3 separate regions of the Mus musculus genome follow, and regions 1 and 2 are each reported to be linked to region 3. Evidence: microRNA targets listed by miRTarBase, many of them from high-throughput screens and not tested one by one. Region 3 holds a microRNA gene; each other region holds the end of a gene's coding sequence.

Region 1 (7,195 bases), not on the chromosome of region 3:
TGGGACTTTGGATTTCCGGAGAACTGAGTTCTCAGACCTTTTCTTTGCCTGTAGATGGCTCTAATTGGACCCAGTGGTTGCTGCCACCCCTAGTCTGGCTGGCCAATGGACTACTAGTGTTGGCCTGCTTGGCTCTTCTCTTTGTCTATGGGGAACCTGTGACTAGGCCACACTCTGGCCCGGCTGTACACTTCTGGAGACATCGCAAACAAGCTGACCTGGATTTGGCCCGGGTAAGGGGCTGACCCTGAGGAGGCGGGGTGGGGCCCCGGGCCTGGAAGGTGCTGGGTGCCTCTGCTCACTTCATTTTCTCCAGTCTGTCTCATCCCCCGCCTTCAGAGCTCCTGACTCTAGGGGCCCAGACAAGGGGGTACCCTGCTGCCATCCCTGCTGCCATTTTTCTTACTGAGAATCTTTTCTCTAGGGAGATTTCCCCCAGGCTGCTCAACAGCTGTGGCTGGCCCTGCAAGCGCTGGGCCGGCCCCTGCCCACCTCAAACCTGGATCTGGCCTGCAGTCTGCTTTGGAACCTCATCCGCCACCTGCTCCAGCGTCTCTGGGTGGGCCGCTGGCTGGCAGGCCAGGCCGGGGGCCTGCTGAGGGACCGTGGGCTGAGGAAGGATGCCCGTGCCAGTGCCCGGGATGCGGCTGTTGTCTACCATAAGCTGCACCAGCTGCATGCCATGGGTATGGCTGGCTGGGAGCTGGGCTCCGAGGGTCCCCACCACACCGTCACCTCCTGTCCTCATGCCTCACCCACTTTGCAGGCAAGTACACAGGAGGACATCTTGCTGCTTCTAACCTGGCACTAAGTGCCCTCAACCTGGCTGAGTGCGCAGGAGATGCTATCTCCATGGCAACACTGGCAGAGATCTATGTGGCAGCGGCCCTGAGGGTCAAAACCAGCCTCCCAAGAGCCCTGCACTTCTTGACAGTGAGTAGGCTGATGGGGACAGGGCTGGGGGCTCCTCTTTACAACTCTCAACCTGTCACTTCCAGGGCAAGGGGCTAAACAGGATGTGGCAGTGGTTAGCAGGTGGGCTGTAGGCCCTCCTGGGATCCAACTGGGAGCCAGTGTGACAGTTCTGTTCCTTCCCTACAGCGTTTCTTCCTGAGCAGCGCCCGCCAGGCCTGCCTAGCACAGAGCGGCTCGGTGCCTCTTGCCATGCAGTGGCTCTGCCACCCTGTAGGTCACCGTTTCTTTGTGGACGGGGACTGGGCCGTGCACGGTGCCCCCCCGGAGAGCCTGTACAGCGTGGCTGGGAACCCAGGTGCTTTCTCGTTCTGTTCTTACCCCTGCCTCATCCCTGTCCCTATGTCACATTGCACTGTCCCCTCTTCTCTGAATGCCCTCACTTACCAGCTTATATTGCCCTGTGGGGTTGGGGCTGTGAGGTGGCTATGAGGTGGCTTTTGCTGGATTTTGCCAAGGTTCTTTAGAAGCAGGAAGCAGTATGGGTCAGCAGACAATGGGGGACATGAGAGGTGACTCTAGGGGACACCATTGTTGTCTTAGGAAGAGTCCTGAGCAGAGTCAGGGCCATGGGTATGTGACTAAATAGGCTCTCCTTTCCAGTGTGTAGCTTGTGCACAGCCTACCCCTTCTTCCCCATCAAGCTTATGAGGGCAGGGACCCATCACTGTCTGTCTGTTAGGGTTTGGAACTAGGAAGTAGCTCTGGGTTGGGGCCCCAGCTTATTAAGGCATTGGTGTGGGAGGGGACTGTAGAGAGGAGGGTGCCTAACCTCTGTTCTGCTCACCCTTCTCACAGTGGATCCGCTGGCCCAGGTGACCCGGCTATTCCGTGAACATCTCCTAGAGCGAGCGTTGAACTGTATTGCTCAGCCCAGCCCAGGGGCAGCTGACGGAGACAGGTGAGTTTGTCTGTGTCACTCCCAGGCAAGACCTACAACAAGGGCATCTGGGAAAGCCTTGTCCAACCTCTTGAGTAGCCAGACTCTGTTCTCAGAGCCTCTCTGGGTCTTGCTTTCCCCTATCAGCCAGACAGGTGGTATTTTTGTAGAATCCTAGGGTCAGACTATGCTTGGTTGGACGGTTGGTGAGAGCCATTTTCACCCAGAACCCGAGACTGCTGCTATGTGTCCTGACAGCTCTCTCCTGCCTCAGGGAGTTCTCAGATGCCCTTGGATATCTGCAGTTGCTAAATAGCTGTTCTGATGCTGCCGGGGCTCCTGCTTGCAGTTTCTCTGTCAGCTCCAGCATGGCTGCCACCACTGGTGAGCTCCAGACCCCCGTCCTGACTCCTGCCAGACCCAGATACAGTGTGGCTGAAAGTCAAGCACCTTTCCCTCTTCTGTAGGCCCAGACCCAGTGGCCAAGTGGTGGGCCTCACTGACAGCTGTGGTGATCCACTGGCTGAGGCGGGATGAAGAGGCAGCTGAGCGCTTGTACCCACTGGTAGAGCATATCCCCCAGGTGCTGCAGGACACTGAGTGAGTCCCCAGCCAGGTCCCTCCCGCCCAGTCAGCCCCGCAGTACTTTGCTTAAATATCTGTACAGGAGGACAGTGCTGTCCTCCCAGGAGTCTAGAACCGTGGCGGGAGATCTCAGGGAGGGCTGTAGTTTGGTCTAACTTCCTATGTCTGCCATGGCCCCAACAGGAGACCCCTGCCCAGGGCAGCTCTGTACTCCTTCAAGGCTGCCCGGGCTCTGCTGGACCACAGAAAGGTGGAATCTAGCCCAGCCAGCCTGGCCATCTGTGAGAAGGCCAGTGGGTACCTGCGGGACAGCTTAGCCTCTACACCAACTGGCAGTTCCATTGACAAGGTGAGGGGTAGGGTGGGTTCCTGTCTAGGCCAGGGTCACAGCTGTCCATTTCCAGGTTCTTGGTGTTAGTACAGAATAATGCTAAATGGATTTACCTCAGTTTTAACGACGGCTTAAGTCTTGGGGAGAGGGGGCTTTACTGTTTCGCCACCACCAGGAAGGAGGGTGTGGGGAGCAGACTGGCAGGGTTCCTGTTGGGAGCCATTGTTGGGAAGACTGCGGGCTTGTAGCAGGAGGCGGTGCATGTGTTGAGGCAGATGCAGTGCTTCAGTGATGCAACCTGGAGTCAGGCCCCAGTGCTGTGGACTTCCTGCCCTTACTGACGCTGCCTTGAGACAGGGTGGCCCTCAGCTAGGGAAAGCTTGATGTCCATAGGGAAACTCCTCCCTCTGCCCTGCCTGCTATCCCAGGCCATGCAGCTGCTCCTGTGTGATCTACTTCTTGTGGCCCGTACCAGTCTGTGGCAGCGGCAGCAGTCACCAGCTTCAGTCCAGGTAGCTCACGGTACCAGCAATGGACCCCAGGCCTCTGCTCTGGAGCTGCGTGGTTTCCAACATGACCTGAGCAGCCTGCGGCGGTTGGCACAGAGCTTCCGGCCTGCTATGAGGAGGGTGAGTCCCACTGTTCTCACACTGAGGGGCATGAGGTAGGAAGCCGGGAGTGGGGGGACAGTAAATCTGAAACGGGTGACTACTCCTTGCCTCTCAGGTATTCCTACATGAGGCCACAGCTCGGCTGATGGCAGGAGCAAGTCCTGCCCGGACACACCAGCTCCTGGATCGCAGTCTGAGGAGGAGGGCAGGTTCCAGTGGCAAAGGAGGTGAGGAGGTGGCTGTGCTTACAGGGCTGGTGAGGGTCAGGGGCCGTCTTGGTCTAGTGAGACATACTGAGAGCTGACTTACAGAAATCAGCGGGGATGACAGTTTTTGAGGCAGTCATAGGAAAGAAGCTGAGCCCCCCTGTGTGCCCAGCCCAAGTGGAGAAAGCAGCCAGACTGGGAGTTCCACGTGGAAGAGCTCAGCTACTTTGTCCTGCACATGGGGTGTGGGCTCGGCCAGACCTAAGCCTCCCTCCCTTTGATGTGATCTGTGCAGGCACTACAGCTGAGCTGGAGCCACGGCCCACATGGCGGGAGCACACCGAGGCCCTGCTGTTGGCATCCTGCTATCTGCCCCCTGCCTTCCTGTCGGCTCCTGGGCAGCGAATGAGCATGCTGGCCGAGGCGGCACGCACCGTAGAGAAGCTTGGCGATCACCGGCTACTGCTGGACTGCCAGCAGATGCTCCTGCGCCTGGGCGGCGGAACCACCGTCACTTCCAGCTAGACCCCAAAGCTTTCCCTTGAGGACCTTTGTCATTGGCTGTGGTCTTCCAGAGGGTGAGCCTGACAAGCAATCAGGACCATGCCGACCTCTAGTGGCAGATCTGGAAATTGCAGAGGCTGCACTGGCCCGATGGCACCCTCTTGCTCTGTAGGCACCTTAGTGGCTTTTCCCTAGCTGAGGCTCACCCTGGGAGACCTGTACATAGTGTAGATCCGGCTGGGCCTGGCTCCAGGGCAGGCCCATGTACTACTTTGACTTTTGCAAACTTTATTTTCATAGGTTGAGAAATTTTGTACAGAATATTAAAAAATGAAATTATTTATAACTTCAGTTTTGTTTATCTGGGTAGGCAGATGTCTGCCTCAGCTGATTGCTATCTTTCCTGGCTTGTCCTTTGGGAAGCCGGACTTCCCATCTGTTGTAAGGTGTATTTGCTGGCTTGGTGATGCTATGTTGAGCCACCTTGGCCCTCTGATCTCATGGCTCATAACCCTTGAGGGGCCTTGATGGTCTCAGTTGTTCCTTTGCCTTCCAGCCCTCCACCAGGTAATAACCCCGTATATCCAGAAACACACACAGTTCCCTAGTCATCTCTGTGCACCAGCATAGGCGAAGGATCAGGGCCCATTAGTGAGTAGACTGGGAACCCTGTTTGTGTCCCCCGGCCCCTTCCCTCTACTCCCAACCCCTTAGGGAATCTGGTCGGCATCCACAGGCCGCACACTTCCAAAACAATCGTGGTATCTTTATTGACTTTTTTTTTTCTGAATGCAATGACTGTTTTTTTTTTTTTTAACTCTTAAGGAAAATAAACATCTTTTAGAAACAGCTCGATACACACAATCTTCAGTGTGAAGCAATATACTAATAAGAACACTAGTTGTCTTAACATTTACAGTCTTCATATATATTATATATATGTATATGTATACATATATATACACTATATAACGAGGCCAGATATAATACACACGTTTACCATTTTACAGTCATATGTACAGAACGTTGCAGGGAGAAGGGGCTGCATCAGGCCTATTAAAGCGTGGACAGAGCTGAGGACACAAACGGACAGGTGGGGGCTGGCCGTGGTGGTGGTGATGGTGGTAGTTGCTCGGGGAAGGGGCATCACTTTGGCCCCGACCCCAGCCAAGGCCAGGTTAGGGCTCTGTGCTGTGGAGCACACGACGCACAGCAGCGACACACAGAAGCGAGCATGTTCCCAACATATATACATTCTATGTAACATATATATAGAGGGGTACACAGGTTTGTACACGAATCTAGCACTGTCTCCGCCTATGAGCCGAGTGAGCTGAGTGGCAGTCCCTGAATCCCATGTTGGTGTTTTGTCTGGGACAGCTGCACATCTGCTAGAGGGTAGCCAGGCCCAGTCTCCTCAGGCTTCCAGACGGGGCTCCAACAGTGGGGTGGAAGACTGGAAAGGGGACAAACAGAAGCCATAGGGCGCCACCCCAGGCCAGCCCGCATCAAGGATAGACTGGCCTGAGCCCAGGCTGCCACGATCTTGGGCAGATCCATGCCAAGTGCTGAGCCATGTCCCCCGCCGCTGGGCCTCTAAGAAAGGCTTGGGTCTGCCCCACGTCGTCCACTGAGCCAGCAGCCTAGCCTCTTCCCAGGGGCACAGCTTGCATGCCACGTCTTTTTCAGAACTTGCAGGGGACTTGCCCCCCGCCTGAGACATTGTGCCCTGGGTCTGGCCACTCCCTGGCCTGCCTTCGCCAAGCCTGGCCCCGGTTTTCTTCGCAACCTAGGCCTCACGCCAGCGCCCAAGGCAGCCGGAACCTAGACCCTGGATGGGATCAAGGACCGGCTGTGGGCGCAGCTCTTCTTCCTCGGAGTTTCGGCCACACGGGGATTACAACGGCAGCCTCTGTGGGAGGGACAGCCCGTTACTGTTATCACCAGCCGCTGCCACCCCTGTCCTTCCACAAGAACTGTGCAATCACCCTAGACTGGCAAAGTAACTTTAGGACCCAGCCTGCACCCCTCCCTACTCTCTGGCAGGGCAGGGAGAAACTGGGTTAGGTAGGGAATGCTTTCTCTGGGGAGCCTGCTCACCTACCTTATGTTTGGGGCACTTCAAAGTAAAATTCTCCTCAATGAACGTGCAACCTGTGAGCAAAGAAAAGTTTCTGTGGTGATGCAGAGCCGGCTGGCTGCCAGTGTTAGTTCTGATGCCCTGGTCTTGCTCAGAACCCTCATTAGTCCAAATCCCCCCAGAGGTGCAGCCCCTCTGCCTCTACCCTGCTATGTCCCTTCCTGGCCTCCACTCCTAGACACCCCCCCTGCCCCACCCCCACCCTGGCCACCACTACCTGGCCATCTCCCTCCTACCCAGGTCTCCCCAAAGGAGAAGGAACACTCATTCTCAGACATGCCCACTCCTGACCCAACCTCCTGCACAGTGGCCAGGAGAGGTCCATGCTCAGAAAGCACCCCATGATTGCTTGGGTGACTGACAACTGCAGAGTGGAGTCTCAGGTCTTGACTGAAATGTCAGCTACAGAATCTCAGCCTCTATATTGTAGATCAATCACAATGTCACCTACTGTGTGCTCTCATGATCCTTCTTCACGTTCAGAGGAAATGTTCCACACGGAAGGGCTTATTCTTAAGAGACAGCAGTAGGAGGTTACAAGGTCCAGGTCTAGATGAATCCCCCAGATGTCCACAAAGGATGGCTAAGCAAGCCAGTTGTTATTCCTACCCAGGGCAGTGTGCTGCTATCATGAGTCCTTGCCAGCTGCCATAAGAAAACCTAGCCATTGTCCTCTGGTGTCCGCTCTACCTACAGGCCTCCTGGGTCCATCATTGCTCCCTTCTCGGCTACTGATCGGGGCTCACCTTCCCAGACATCGCCTCCCATCTCACACTAGGGATGGTGCAGAACTTCCTGTTTCCTTCCCTCTTCTCCACCCAGAGGGGAGGGAGGTGGATGTCACTTGAGAAAGCTGCAGGAGAGGTTGTCTTCTAGGGCCAACTGCTGGGGGTGGGTGCACGCAGGCACACACGTTTGGGACTGCACCTACACTGGACCAAGGTTTAGCTATAACCTACGGGTGCT
Region 2 (7,195 bases), not on the chromosome of region 3:
ACTGAATGAGGTTGACAATGTTGGCTCCATGGTTGAACACTTAACCTAGCAAGCAGAAAGTACTAGATTTAGTCCCCAGCACTGGGAAGGGAAGGGGAAGAGAGTGGATTTATAATTCAGAGGTCAGTGGGTCCTAATATGCTCTGGTGCCTCCACTGCCAGCCTCCTAGATTCCTGGGCAGGGGTGAACGGGTCAGGGTGCCTTCTAGTTGGACTTCCTGCTGATGATGCTACTAGTCTGAGTCTAGCCAAAATGTATAGACAAGAAGTCAACACGGTAAGTCTGCCTAGCTCTTCCCAGAGGTCAGGGTAAAGAGCCAGTGCTATTTTCTACTCAGGCAGTAGTCCTGAGAGATTGTGGTCACGTGGGAGGGGACTGCAAAATCAGAGGCAGGCTCTTTCCAGAATCAGGTGGTAGTGTTACCTATGGGATGGGTAATATTTTTGGATAAACAGTGTGTGACTAGCTTCTAAATTTATTGTAAATGACAGCTTATACAGTATGCTTTTAATTTTCATATGGTGTATCTAAGAGGAAAGATGACAGATACTTTCCAGTACTCTGAAGACATAAGTAGTTTGATGAGTTTTTGCTGTGACTGAAGAGAAATTATCTCCTTTTCCACAGGCCTTTCCACAGAAGAAAACCTGTCTGCCTCCGTCACCAGCCAGCCTGGTCATCAGAAAGAAAACGTCATACCTTTACTCGTGACTAGCAATTCTGATCAGTTCCTGACAACCCCAGATGGTGATGAGAAGGACATAACACAGGAAAATTCTGAGTTAAAGCACAGATCCTCAAAGAAAGACTTGTTAGAAATAGACAGGTTCACAATTTGCGGGAACCGGATTGACTGAGTTTGTGACTAATGAGATGAAGATGTCAGGCCCCGGGCCACAAATTCTGGGTGCCAGGACACTTGCTAAAAATGGCACTTAAATATTTATTTAAAAACTTAAATTATTAATGGCAAGCAAATCTTAGTATCTTTCTTCCAGTAATGTGGCCTTGCAGAAGGGCAGATCACGGAGCAGCGGTGGCCTCTGGCCCTGACTCTGGATGCTGACACTTGAACACTTCCTCCTGCGTGGCCAACAGCAGTGCTGCTTCCAGCACCTGGCCAAGCACTGCAGAAGCTCCTTTCCTTCGTCAGCCTGGGCTTCCAGATCGTCGGGTTCTCCTCAAGGCCTCTTCAGGATAAGGACACACCTGGGAAACTGTGACGCTTCTACCATGAGTTCCCTTTCCAGCCTCAGACTGTCTCCACACACTCTTTCCAGACTTGACTCCATCTGCCAAAGCATTGACAAGTTGCTACATCTAAGTCCAGATGACGTTCTTACCACCAGAGTCATCCTTGGCAATACATCTGAGCTAGTCAGAACAGAAGGCCACTTAACTACAACGTGGTGAATAGCAGCGTCCTATGAGAAACAGTGAGCTCTTGGCCCAGTCATTTACTTTATAAAGGTCATGTGTCACTGAGAAATGCTTCCTGCTGCCTCGGTTACTCAGGGCAGAGTGTGAGCTGTGTGACACGGGCCCAGTGACAATAAAAGGCACAGAGCAATGTCAACAGAGTAAAAGGCACAAGTGCAGTGTGACCTGGCTTTGCTTTAAGGCTAATTGCTTCATTGGTTATTCCAAGTTAAAGGATTTGGTGTTGAATTGGCGAATAGCCATTGCATAGCTGTTGCTAGTGCCAGGCTCGTTTGTTGGGTTTTGTTTTGGTTTGAGTAACAGTTTTAAAGTATTCCCAGCAGATTGAGCAGTGTCACCTTGCTGGGCTTGTAAAATGCATTTGTCTGCCTGTGGGTCTGTTCTGTGTGGGGAGGAAACCCTCACATGACCGACCGACCGTAAGTAGAGTGTTTGGGACACTGTAACTAGCAACCAAAAGGTGCTCTGGGGTTTTCATCTGAGATAAAGATGTTATTCCTGCTTCATTACTACCTATTAGCATCCCAGGACAAATTCTCGACACCCTACTTTATCTTAAGAGTCTGTTCTGCACTTCTCTTAGACAGAAAGTTGACCATTTCTGATCTGAACTGTCTAAAAGATGGTACTCTTAACTTCATTTCCTATGCTGTCTTCTGAAACTCAGCTCTCATGCAAATATTTGGGCACAGATGGCAAATTTTAAATGGTTTGCTGTATCCTGGATAAGTATAAAACTAGTTTGGATGCTTTGGCTTATGCATTTGAGATTCAGGAGGGTTTCTAATGTTTTGCACTAACAGAATCTAAAGATAGCTGTTGGAGATACTATATATTTATGCCTTGTAAAGCCAGGAAGCAATTTTAAGTTTAAAATGAACATTTTTATTCTTTTGTGTATGTTTTAGTGGGGCCCCACTTTTAAACTATTCTTTTTACCGAAAGAGAGTGTCCATGGAAACCAGGAGCCGTGTGGAAAAAGCTTTGCCAAACGCAGCCCTGGTCAGAACAAGAGCACGACCTAGGTGTATCTTTCTGTTCCGCTTGAGTTTTCTGTTTCCGCGCTGTTCTCTGAAGATTGCATTTCCTTTGCAGATGCTCTTGGGAGTGTGGATGATACTCACTTCTGTCATAATGGCATTCAGTACTAATTTTATAAGTGCATCTTGTGTGAAACTCAATAAATTCAATTTTATAATCTTTTTTAAAAAGGTCACTGAATTTCTTGTGGCAACGATTACTATTATATTTGTTGGAATGGATATCTCATTGAGAGATTTCTTATTTAAGCAGAACTTATTTCTAGTTTACAAATAATAGGGTTGTGTTAAGTATGTTTAGTTACTCTTGCCCTAAATGATAAAAAAAAAATTGCTCTTTTGTCTTTGAAAGAATAGCCTGCATGTTGGTCATAGACCATTTAGTATCTCTTATCACATGACAACATTTGCATTCTATGGTGCATCTTGATGTCACAGTGTCTTCTTGTCATAATATGGGAGTCACAGTCAAGACAATACTTTGGTTTTTAAATAGTCTTAGTATGGTGCACGGTACATCAGACCCATTTTAGCTTTTCCTACAGGTCAAAGTACCAAATGCTATTGATGAATGTATCTTGGCTCCCTGTGGTCTTGTGCCAGCATTTGAAAAAAGTATGCTTGAATCAGCTTCTCAGCATCTGCCTCACCCACTCTGTGCCACCTGCCCTGCCACCTCTGCTAGCTCAGCAGAGATGAGTTCACAAGATTGCCTTAAAGTACTTTATTTTCATATGCCTCAGCTCTAAGTGTTTTTCCCACAGTGATTTCTTAGTTGTTTCCTCTGTCAGGAACTGCCCAGAGCAAGGGATAGCAGGAGACAGCAAGGTCTCTGCCTGCTGGACACAACTGGACATTGGTCGAGTATGTATGGCAGACCAAGGATAGCACAGTTCACGTCGTGGTGTCAGGCTGATCTTTCCCTGTGCTGTGTGCTTAAGGTCATCTGGTAGCAGTTTCCCAGAGCTTTCTAAAAAGGGGTGAAGAGAGAGGAAAAGAATTTTCACCAAATACTGCTAGTTGCCTGCCAGACTCTGGCCTTCCTGCATGCTGTGTACAGGACTGCAGCCAAGCTTCATGGCCTCTCACTGTGAGTCTAGAGGTTAATATGCCATTTTCAAGTCTATGCCCATCATACTGTAAGTCACCTTCGAGTCTGTCCACTTCGCACCCTTGGAACCCCGAGAAGCTGGTAGCTATCCCTAGCCATGTATATTGCACAGCACCCCAGAGTAGCAGAGTCAAGGTCCTGAGGCCCAGGATGCCTGTGAAAAGGAATATGGCTGATTGGCTTAGAATACTCAAGACTCTAATGAAAGAGAAAGAAATTCGGAAACACCTGTGTTCTCAGCCTCTGATAGGCAGGTCTGTGGCAACATTAGGAAAAGGAGATGAGCGTCAGACCCCTCTGATACTCCGGCTGCGGCAACACTCCCTGTGGACAGTAGAGTCCCTGTTTACCGTGAGTCAGTAGAGGAAACAGGAAGGGCCGTTACTCCCTGTATTTCAGAGCTGACACCCCTCATGCCCTGGAGATGAACATTAAAGTCTGATTTGTTCACAGACTTAGTGAGCAGGTATTTCTTGCCCTTTATGTCAGGAAAGAATGTGTAAGAGTTTACATATAAGGAGCCAGCAAGATGGCTCAGCGGGTAAACGCACTTGCTGCGAAGCCTGACAATATGAATTCAATCCCCAGACTCCACACTGTGGAAGAAGTGAAACAACTCACACAAGTTGATCGCTGACCTACAAACACACATACACACACACACACACACACACGGGGGGGGGGGGGGGGGGGAGGGGGTGCGCAGGGCACAGCAAGAAGTAGAATGTTAATGAGCCAAGAAAGCGGTAAAAAAATATCTCAGAAGCCAAGGATGCCATGCCAGTGGTTGTCGAAAATAGTCCTGTGGTACAGTTCAGTGTGGTATGTGGTATTCATTAAATGCCTCAGACATCCAGGGTGTTTTAGAGCAGTGGTTCTCAGCCTTCAAAATGTTACAACCCTTTATACAGTTTAATTCAGTTCTTCATGTTGTGGTAACTACAACCATAAAATTATTTTTGTTGCTACTTCAGAACTATAATTTTTGCTAGTGTTCTGAATTGTAATATAAATAGCTATGTTTTCCAGTGGTCTTAGGTGACCCCCGTGAAAAGGTCACTTGACCCCCCCCCCTCCAAAGGGGTTGGGCCCCACAGGTTGAGACCCACTGATTTAGAGTGTTTTCTTGTAAAACACCTAGTGAGGGAAGGAGTGTCAGTGATGAGGGAGGTGTGAGTTACTCAGGAGAAATCGGCATGGTGAGAAGGTTTCAGTGATTCTCAAATGTTTGTTTCAAGGATGGGGAACGGTGAGTTCCTAGGGGCTGGTGAACAAACAAGACATGACTGATTAAACATGAGCAAGGTAGTGAGGGATGGGGTCTTCTGCCGGCCGGTGAGGCTGCTCTTGAGATGTCGTTACCGGAAGAGAAGAGTGAGCATCAGTTGGTAGAGTTTTGCTTTGAACATACAACCTCATCTAGCAATGAGGAAACCAAGGAGTTCATGAGGGTCCTGTCATCACAGGAACGTACATACTGGGAAAGTCAGAGATGCTGTTCTAGCGAGTTAACAAGGCCAGTGCAATGCAGACAGGAAAGCTCGTAGGCATTACTGTCCCAGTTACTTTGAGGCACGAAAATGAACAAGTGCTGCTGTGTGGTTGTGAGTGGATCTTGTCTAGTGGGTAAGGGAAGTGGCAGCTAAATGCACACCTGACAACGAGACACTCTTGTCCCTGTCTGCAGACACTGATCACAGGAGACCACCTTAGATGGTGCTGCATCCCTTGTCCCTCAGCTCCTGATAGAGACCAACAGTACTGCTTGCAAGAATTTAAAAAGAGCCACTGTGAGGGACGTGCACTTAAATTTAAGATGCCTTGTTAGATTAGGGCTGAGGGTAAGGGGAGGAAGGGCAAGGTAGTTGTCACTGAAGAGGGAAGAGCACACAGTATGTCTACAGCACAGCCTTGGCCCCTATACACACATAAACACACGCTGTGTGTGTGTGTGTGTGTGTGTGTGTGTGTGTGTGTGTGTGTATGTGTATGTGTGTTGAGAGCCAGCCACTACTGAAACCACAGAGAGGAAGGCAGTTCTGGTTGGAGGTGGCAGGGACTCTATATGGAGACAGGGCTTGAGAGCTCTTAGTGCCTGGCTGAGGATTCTGCCCCTGATTCCGCTCAGAGGCTGGACAGAGGCGAGCTCCTGTGGGATGTTAAGTTCACGTATACAGAGGATAAGTGAAGAAGCTACTTTGGACACTTTCAAGTACTATGATTAGGTCAATGTGTTAAGAAAGGCAGGCTGCTGACCTCCCAAAGGACTGATACCTGATAGCTGTTGGAGGTTTGTGTGAAGGCACAGTGTGGTTCTCAGCTGCTACATCTTCATCCCCTTACGGAGTGCATGCTGTCGTCCCCATCCTACAGCTAGGAACGCAATCTGGAAAGGAAGAGTAATGTGTGCCCACCACACAGGAGACAGAGCAGGACCTTGAACCCCTTTCTACAGTCTTGCCCTGTGCCATCAGCTATGTTCTACAAGAGAAGGGTTGGGAAAAGGAGGCCCTGTATGGAAACTGCTGGGGACATCCACACCAGCCTAAGGACCAGAGAAGCTAAGATACTGTTGGTGTGGGTACCCAGTGCAGTGCCAAGGGATCAAGGAGGCTAGTGGGTTGTCTGCATGGAATGCAATGGGCTCATGCAGACCTGGAGCCATACTATGGCAGTGTCGACTCCAGACTGCTCTGAAGTCCTGTGCCTTCCAATATCCCTTGAGAACTCCAAAAAGAGGATCCTGACCCCAGACTTGGTCCATTTACTTCAGCGCTGACACCATGTGGAAAGCCAAACTTTTATCTGATTTTGTTTCTCATTGTCGAGCACATGATGAACCCTCTTCAAATCTGCCGTGCTCCAGGAGTGACTCCAGGGTCAAGCTGGCCTTGCTCACGGGCCATAGTGGAGGACAAACATTTCTATGAGACCAAAGAAAGACTATGGTCTGTGAACCCCATGCTGAACACCAGAATGAGCTGAGCAGAAGGCTGGGTTGCTAAAGCTTTGGTAAGATGAAATAAAACCAAAGCAGTTCAGGTTCCACCCAGAGTGCTCAGCTGGCTACTTTTACAGAGGATACCTCAGTCCAGAATGCAAAGGTTTTCTTAGCTTCAAGTTTACATATCCCAATCCATGGTCAATTTTCCCTATTGCTTTGGGCCTGTAGTGAAGCAGCTCCTGATGGCAGGAACATGAGGCAAAGCAAGGCTGCTTACCTAACAATCAGAGAGCTAAAACTAAGAGGAAAAGGCATATGAGTTTCACAGTCACTTTCAAGGGCCTGCCTCCAAAATACCGTGCATCTCCAAGTACAACACACCTCCCACAAAGATCCACATTCCCAACAACAGCACCAACTGGGGACCAGGCCTTCGAGAGATATCTGAGAGTCAAGGCCATACTACCACCTTGAATTGAAAAGTACAAAAATATGGCCTCCTTTCCCTTGCTGTGTGATTCATTTTGCCCACAAACATAAGCTTAGAGACTACTTAAGCTTTGAGCTGGTGGAAGTTCCACTGTTGAAGCACCTCTCACAAAACATCCAACTCTTCTCTGAGGTAAACATCTTCCCAGTACCTCTCATCACTTGTCTCC
Region 3 (7,195 bases):
AAATGGCTTCCCTGGTCTGTGCCTTTCAGACACAGGCTGAGCCAAACTACCAAAATTGCAGAGCTTCTTCCCTGAAGAAAGCCTGACGTGGCAATGCTTAGGCCAGTTCTCCTAAGAGCTGTTGGCCCAGAGGAACTTCACTTAGATTTCAAAGGGTGCTGCAGTCAGTCTCAGGGCCAACACAGAGACTGTCTCAAGAGAAACTCTTCACACAGAGTCTCTAAGGGGCAGTGTAGGAGTATGGCAATCTATTGAGAACCAGAAACTACGTGCTGATCAGTGTCCATCTGCAGCCTGGAAAAGCTGCAGTCTTGAGACCTCAACTGCGAGAACATTGGGTGTTCTCATGGACAGAGTGCTGCCCTGGCCTGGTACCTCTTGCTTATTTCTCCCTTCTGAATGGAACTGAGCAGTTTTCTCTTGAACCTCCATTGGATTTTGCAAGTGTGAAAACTGCCCAGTGCACAGGCTCAAGGCCAAAGAATGCTCACTGTATGATTCTTAACCTATGTCTGGAAGTGTGTGGATTGCTGACTTCATGAGGACCTCTACACGAGATTTTTCCAAGTCAGAACTCAGTGGTGACTTCCCTGGGCTTGTTAGCATGGTGTTCTCTATTGCCAGAGAGGCTGCTGTTGATATGCTGGAGGAGTCCTCTAGAATAACACTTGTCCTTCCTGGAAGGGTGATGCCAATATGCTGGGAGCCACAGCTTTTAAAATGATCCTTTCCCTGGCCCAAGTTACATCTTCACATGCATCTTCTATATCTTGTACCAGCAGTGGATTGTTTGGGTGTTTTCTATTTAGGGAGCTTTAGCCTTAGTGGATGACCATGTTGTAGTGAAGCCTACCTCCTCCCAGGGATTTTCTGCATCAGCAACCATTGGCCTAGTTGGATCAGAGTCTACCTTGAGGAAATCCCTAGACAAAGCTGTTTAAAGTTCTTAATATCAGAGGGCAACATCCTAGGCCACTTCCTCCTTTTCCTTCTTCTGCAGAGAGAAAGAAAAAAGTTTTAGGCTTATAGTTCGTATCTCAGAAAAGTCTTCTCAACACGGGTATGTCCAAAGTGTAGCAGTGCTCTCTGGTTTGATTTGCTCACACAGAATCCATGCTCTTTTGCATACCCCAAGAACCATGGAGCATGGTCACCATATCCTTATTATATAGCTGTCTTTAGGAACAGTGAAGGCTCAATATTTCCATTGAAATTTTGAAATGCATTGACCTCATTGCATTTTTGTGTGTTTGTGCATGTAAGTATGGAGCTCAGTCATCAACTTTAGGTGTCAGTGTTTAGTCAGTTTTTCTGGGAGAATCTTTCATTGGATTTGAAGCTCACCCCTTTGGTAATGGTTGCTGGCCAGCACCTACACGGGATCAGCCTGTCTCGTCCTTCCCAGTGCTGGGATTACAGGTGTGCACAACTTTCCTGCTTTATTTTTATTATTATCATCATCATCATTATTGATACTTGGGTTCTGGGCCTACAGTTCAGGTCCTCACGTTGCCTGGAAAGCACATTATGGACTGACAGTCGCTCAGGTCCGCACCTTATCCTTTCTGGAAGTCTTGAACCTTCACTGTATCTGATACAACGTTCATCTATAGTTCTTCTCTGTAACTTGGTTGATATATGCATTCTGTATCCCAGGCAAGGCTGACAGGAAACATTACACTTGCTGACTGGTAGTCTTTGGTGAATTTGAACCAAAAATAAAGCCTCCAATGTTTTTCTGATGCTCACTTCCAGGGACATTTAAGATAGCATAAAATATCAAGTATTAAACTCCTTTTACTTAGGGGATGTATAATGCAGAACTGTTCAACCCTCTACTGACTATCAACACCAACTTACAGAATTCCTCAGCAAACAGCTATAAATTAGTATGAACTTGCTGACTGTGTGTATTCTTGCCTAGCTAGGGAGCAGTGCTGAGCACTACCTGCTTTTCCACAAGTTGAAACTGTTCCCAACAAGGTGCTGTGCATACTGCATATGATTGGGAAAGTCATTGACTACAGATAGGATAACCACACTAAATTTCTTGCTCATTCCCTGTGAAATACCTTATGTTCTGGTGAGAGTGTTCACCGTGGCAGGTTTCTTGCTGACAGAAAGTTCATAGATGTTTGTCCTCAAGTTGCCTTATTGAGATACAAAGGATGAATCTATAAGAATTGTCCCCATCAATTCTTGTGCTTGACTATTTTGAGGCACTGACCTGTGTCATCAAAATAAATTAGTCCATTAAAAGGACAGACTCCATTGGTGCAGCACAATCCAGTCACCAGGCACAGGCTGCATAGCTGACATACAATCCTCTCGTCTCTGTCATCTTTACACTGATTTGCCTGCCAGGTGTAGCTCACACTCTGTTGTACTGATTGAGGAGTTGGCTTTAAGGCTCTTGGCTTTAGGAAAATGATTTTCCCAGTCTGAGATACAGCACTGAAATGGCAAATGGGAACAGTTCTAATGTCAGAAAAGAAGAAGGAAGGGTGGGAGAGACAGCAGTGTCCCATGTGCACGGAGCCCCCTGCCCTGCCGTCCTGCCTGTCTGTGCTGAACTGGAGAGGCAACACCAGCTCCTTTCTCCTACCCAGTGCTCAGGCCCTGAGGCTTTTGTCTCAGCAGCTCTGTGATGCCCTGGAGACTTTAGGTCAGCCCCAGAGACAGGGAAGCCCCACACCGAGGATGTTCTTTCTTGTCCCAGTGCTAACAGATGTCTGATATTTGGTGTGCTTCCTCGTTTTCTCCACAAGGAGTCCAAAGGAACTCCAGAGTGAGTAAGATGTACAGAAATGTGCAGACATCGACATGATGCCCTGAGGGGACGTGGCCTCTGCATGCAGGGTTCTGGGGGTGCCTGGGGTGAGAAGAGGCACACCCTGAAAGCCCTTGTCTACCTAATCTCCATGCTGGAGAGAGAGAGAGAGACCTACCTTTTCAAAACCAGGCACTCAAAAGCAAACCTCAGCTATCTTAGTGATCCAGCCTGTCAATCAGCACTTGGGAGGCTGTGGATGGTGTTAGTGAACCACTAGAAGTTAGAGGAAACAGCCCTTCTCTTCTTCAAACCTGACAATGAGGACTTTGGTTCTTCTCCTGCACTGTGACTGTGACTCAGTCACAGTGGATCTCTGCTTATACCATATTTTAGGGCATTAGGTCAAAGGCAGGACAACCCTTCAGCACAGGCCATGTCAAGAGACTCAGGTTTGTCAGAGCTAGGGACATGGCACCACTGTCACCTAGTCAGATGCTTCACCCAGGGGTGCTGCTAACCTTAACGTTTGGATCGGGCACAGAACCAAACAGTATTTCCTTCTTTGTCAGAACTGTGCCTGAGAAAGACTGATAAGAAACTTGGCGTGTCGTGACTGATGTACTGATAAGAAACTCAGTGTGATATGACTGATGTGCGTGTGTCTGTCTGGGAGGACACACGTGGGGCTGGGGAGAGTCCTTGTCTTTGGGGGGGGACGAATAGAGAGGGAGGTTTATTATGATTTATGATTTATTACTATTATGATCTCAAGAGACTGAGTTCTGTAAGTCTAAATGAAAAACCAAAAAGAACCTATGTTCTAGAATGGAGCCTGAAATAGAAGTCTTGGAACTCACTTTGTAGACCAGGCTGGCCTCGAACTCAGAGATCCGCCTGCCTCTGCCTCCGGAGTGCTGGGATTAAAGGCGTGCGCCACCACGCCCAGCCTGCAACTTTTTAGATTATAGAATACTAGACACGTGGAAACCAGACACGACAGATAGCTCTCTCATGATCTTCTTTTTAACCCACATAGCCTTCTTGTTCTGGTGAATCATTTTCTGAGGACAGCCTACTCAAAATGATGAAAAGTCTGACTCAAGGAAAAGTCTTAAACTGATTAGTCTCACATATAACATGTGCTCCAATGTCATATAGGTTCTGTGTGCCTACAGCAGTGGCTAAGAAGGAAACCTCTTCCCTATGCCACTCTAAAGGCCCATGATGAGCAGAGGAATCCGGGCTCTGTTACACACTGGCAGTGGTCCGACAACTGCCTGCCTGAGCAGAGAAAGGACAGTCAAAACCTTCAGCAGTGCACACACAGCCTGCTTAATGGCCACTCCTTCTCATGAACTTGCTGAGTCATGACAACATCCCCTTTGGTCCTTGTGTACTTGACCCCAGGGAGCTGTTCTGGGTGACAATGCCAAACTCCCCCCCCCCCCCCCCCATGAGCGACAGAGAGGAGCCTAAGCACTAGGGAAGCATAAGTGGAGTATCAGTCACAGGAAAGGAAATGGAAACTGCAGGTTCTCAAGATAAAAGTCTGTTATTTAAGAGGATGGCCTCTTCTGTTTTGCCACTTCTGTGGGGCGAATGCTACATGGATGATTGTTTTTCCAAGGCTTTCGTAGCAAGCACACGAAAAGTCTTGGTTGAATTCGACTTTGGGGCCTTGCTGAGTAAAAATCTTTACTTATTCTTCTGGTGGCATGCTGGTGTCTTGATGATCGGTTACAGAGATTGGTCATTCCGAGACAGAAAAGAGGGAGACAATCTAACATTCAAACCTGGCTCGCTCCATCCCAGAAGTTTTAGCACAGAGTTCTATCTCCAGCATCTTACACTTGGTTTGGTGATACATTCTCATAATCCCAGTGTTGGGAAAGCAGGAGGATTGGAAGTTCTTAGCCTTGGTTACATAGCAAGTTTGAGGCTTTTTCTGTTTGAAGAGACCCTACCTTTAAAAGATAAAATTGTGAGAGGAAGGGAAGAAGATAAGTTGGGCCTCTTAATACCAAGGAGCAATCGTAAAGTTTTTTGTCACTTTGAAATAGAACACACTGTGGATTAAACTTGAAATAGGAAGCCTTGTGTGAGCACTCCTGATTCAAATGCAATGTGTGGAAGGGTCATTTCATAAAAATTGGATGTTTAAACATATGAATATGCAGGTCCTATTCTTTCTCCTCTCTGGGAGATGCTGTGTGCCCTGCCCTGGTCCTCAGACTCTCTTCCATCAGCTTCTGTAACAAGTTTTGGTCCATAGTTCTATCACTGAATTTCAGCCTGCACTCTGTGTCTCCTTTTATGTTGGGTCTGTGTTCTGCTGCTCTGCTGAAACTATTGATGGTTCTTAAGAACTTCCTGGTGGGGTCTGTAGGTGTCAAATAAAGAATCGTGTCCTCTGCAAACCAGATCTCTGATTTCTTGTTGCCTTTTCACTTCTGTCACTTACTGCGTAGACTTTACGTAGAATATTGAATGTAGGTGGAGACAGTGATGACTTTTTGTTCCAGACTTTAGTAAGGATAGTTTGATTTTTTTCTCATTTAGTGTAATATTGGATATTGGTTTGTAATACACAGTTGATACAATGAGATATGTTTCTTCTATTCCAAGTTTCTCTGGGGCTATTTATCATCAAGGGACACTGAATTTTATCAGTTTAGTGTATAAGCTGAGATGGCCACATGATTTCTGTCCTTGAGTCAATTTATTTGTGTCTCTGGGATTTTTTTCTCTTGGATTCTGTTTGCAAGTATTTCATGAGTAATTTTTGCATCTTTGTTCATCAATAAGTGAAAAATCAATAATTTTCTTGGGTCACCTTTGGGTGAGTTTGTTCTTACCCTAAATTGGTGAGTTATGGTCGATTTGAAGTAAAGGATTGTGTTGTAGCAATTTCCTCCAAGATTAAAATGTTCTATTCTTCAGAGAAGCTCTTTGAGGGGGAAGTAAATCCCAAAACAGCTTCAGGAAGTTCCTGAAACTGGTCCACATTCACTAGCTCCCTCCCTCCCAATAGTAAACAATAAAGATTGCCTCTCTCTGAAAAGCAAGACAACTGAGATGAACCCAGATGCCTGGAAAAACAGGAAAGCCAAGCATCCAGAAAATAAACAGACCAGCTAAGCAAAAGCAGCCTCAAAAAAAAAAAAAAAAAAAAAAAAAAAAAAAAAAAAGAAAAGAAAAGAAAGAAAGAAAGAAAGGAGGGAAAGTAGCAGAGAGCAACAGAGATGATGCCCGGAACAGAATTAGGCCAACTAAACAATCTGGAATGGACACTCTTCATTCTGCTGCATCACCTGCAGGCTGTGCAGTAAGCTCCAACTTGCCAGCTTTTGTGAGCTATCAGTGGGCTTTGAGTCATTTCTGTTCCTGTAATTAGCTACTCACCCATATTCCTGTAAGTGACCCCAATAAAACTCATTGATTGGTTCACCAAGCTGGACTTTGGTTATATCCTTTCATTTTTTAGTCATGGGCTCCCTATCTGTGGTAAATAGACACTTGTTAAATAGACATGTCCTCAGGAAAAGTCTGTCAACATTGTCGTCATCTGAGAGGGACTCGGCAGAATAGAATCAAAGATGAGCCGGGGAGGAATGAGGGCGTTGTGCTGACTCTGGGGAGCAAGCCATGCAACCTAGGCTAAGCAGCCTGTCAGAAGGAGCACTCCTGGAGGACGTTGGGATACATTCTCCATTTCCTGTATGACATGTTAGTGTGCTTTTTTGCAATGGGAGCAGTTGCATGATTCTTGCTTGGGGTTGTGAGACAGGCAACTGAGGCTGAGCCATCAGGAATAGGAGTGTCTGTGGGAGGAAGGACAAAATGGCAGTCTTCATCTACTTGCTATGGGGTGACATGCCTACTTGAGTCTACCATGTGAATATGGAGATGCCCGGAAATGAGTTAAAAAAACTTAAGAGGAAATTTTGCAGCCTTCAAATATGCATTAGGATGGAGATTTTCAGCAAGCAGACACAGAGGTTGCCTGGTCTCTGGTTGTATGTAGTAAGAAATGCATCTGTGGCTGATATAATGGCCACACAGGAAACTGTGAAGGAGGGGATAACACAAGAAAGAGATACAGCTAGCATCCTTCACAGAAGCTTATAATATGACAATTAAGTTAGATAAGCAAGAGGATGGGAGAATGGTTATATTCATCAAAAGGTAACGCTATCGATGAAGGTGGTTTGCCTATCCAGGATGTGGTAAATGGAGAGGCAACAGCTATGGCTACAGCTGCAGTACCAAGCCAGGAACTCTTGGAGCCAAGGATCCAGCAGGTGTGGCAGGGGAAAGCAGGGCCACATTCCCTCTTGTACCTAGGGAGGTCAAGGCTAATTCAATCCTACTGTGTTCCTCAAGGGTTTAGAGATGGAGGGACCATGGAAGATCACCAGCATA

Evidence for each region. Region 3 holds the annotated microRNA mmu-miR-468-3p (UAUGACUGAUGUGCGUGUGUCUG, at 3,416-3,438, shown strand). A microRNA usually pairs through its seed, bases 2 to 8, with sites in the 3' UTR of a target mRNA and lowers its output. Matches are read on the target gene's strand: a 7mer-m8 pairs with bases 2 to 8, a 7mer-A1 pairs with bases 2 to 7 and ends in A, and an 8mer does both.
Region 1: the mRNA of Rai1 is a reported target of mmu-miR-468-3p. Seed matches in the 3' UTR shown: 7mer-m8 at 4,884-4,890.
Region 2: the mRNA of Tapt1 is a reported target of mmu-miR-468-3p. Seed matches in the 3' UTR shown: 7mer-m8 at 1,452-1,458.

The regions. Positions count from the first base shown.
Region 1 is chr11:60,196,837-60,204,031 of GRCm38, reverse strand. Rai1 (retinoic acid induced 1) reads right to left here. Exons shown (of 6, transcript NM_009021.2): 5 at 6,194-6,243; 6 at 4,837-6,001. The coding sequence ends at 5,987. It overlaps Srebf1 (sterol regulatory element binding transcription factor 1), which reads left to right. Exons shown (of 19, transcript NM_011480.4): 9 at 55-233; 10 at 425-686; 11 at 767-933; 12 at 1,102-1,270; 13 at 1,771-1,873; 14 at 2,127-2,236; 15 at 2,320-2,452; 16 at 2,621-2,786; 17 at 3,197-3,397; 18 at 3,495-3,606; 19 at 3,881-4,948. The coding sequence ends at 4,110. Mir6921 (microRNA 6921) reads left to right here and starts at 3,415; the gene lies at 3,415-3,494. It overlaps Mir6922 (microRNA 6922), which reads left to right and starts at 1,705; the gene lies at 1,705-1,770.
Region 2 is chr5:44,170,616-44,177,810 of GRCm38, reverse strand. It overlaps Tapt1 (transmembrane anterior posterior transformation 1), which reads left to right. Exons shown (of 14, transcript NM_173764.3): 14 at 629-2,652. The coding sequence ends at 858. Among named protein-coding and RNA genes, the nearest start is that of Gm42427, 34 kb to the right of the region's middle.
Region 3 is chr6:81,892,845-81,900,039 of GRCm38, reverse strand. It overlaps Mir468 (microRNA 468), which reads left to right and starts at 3,364; the gene lies at 3,364-3,441. It overlaps Mir7232 (microRNA 7232), which reads left to right and starts at 4,377; the gene lies at 4,377-4,450.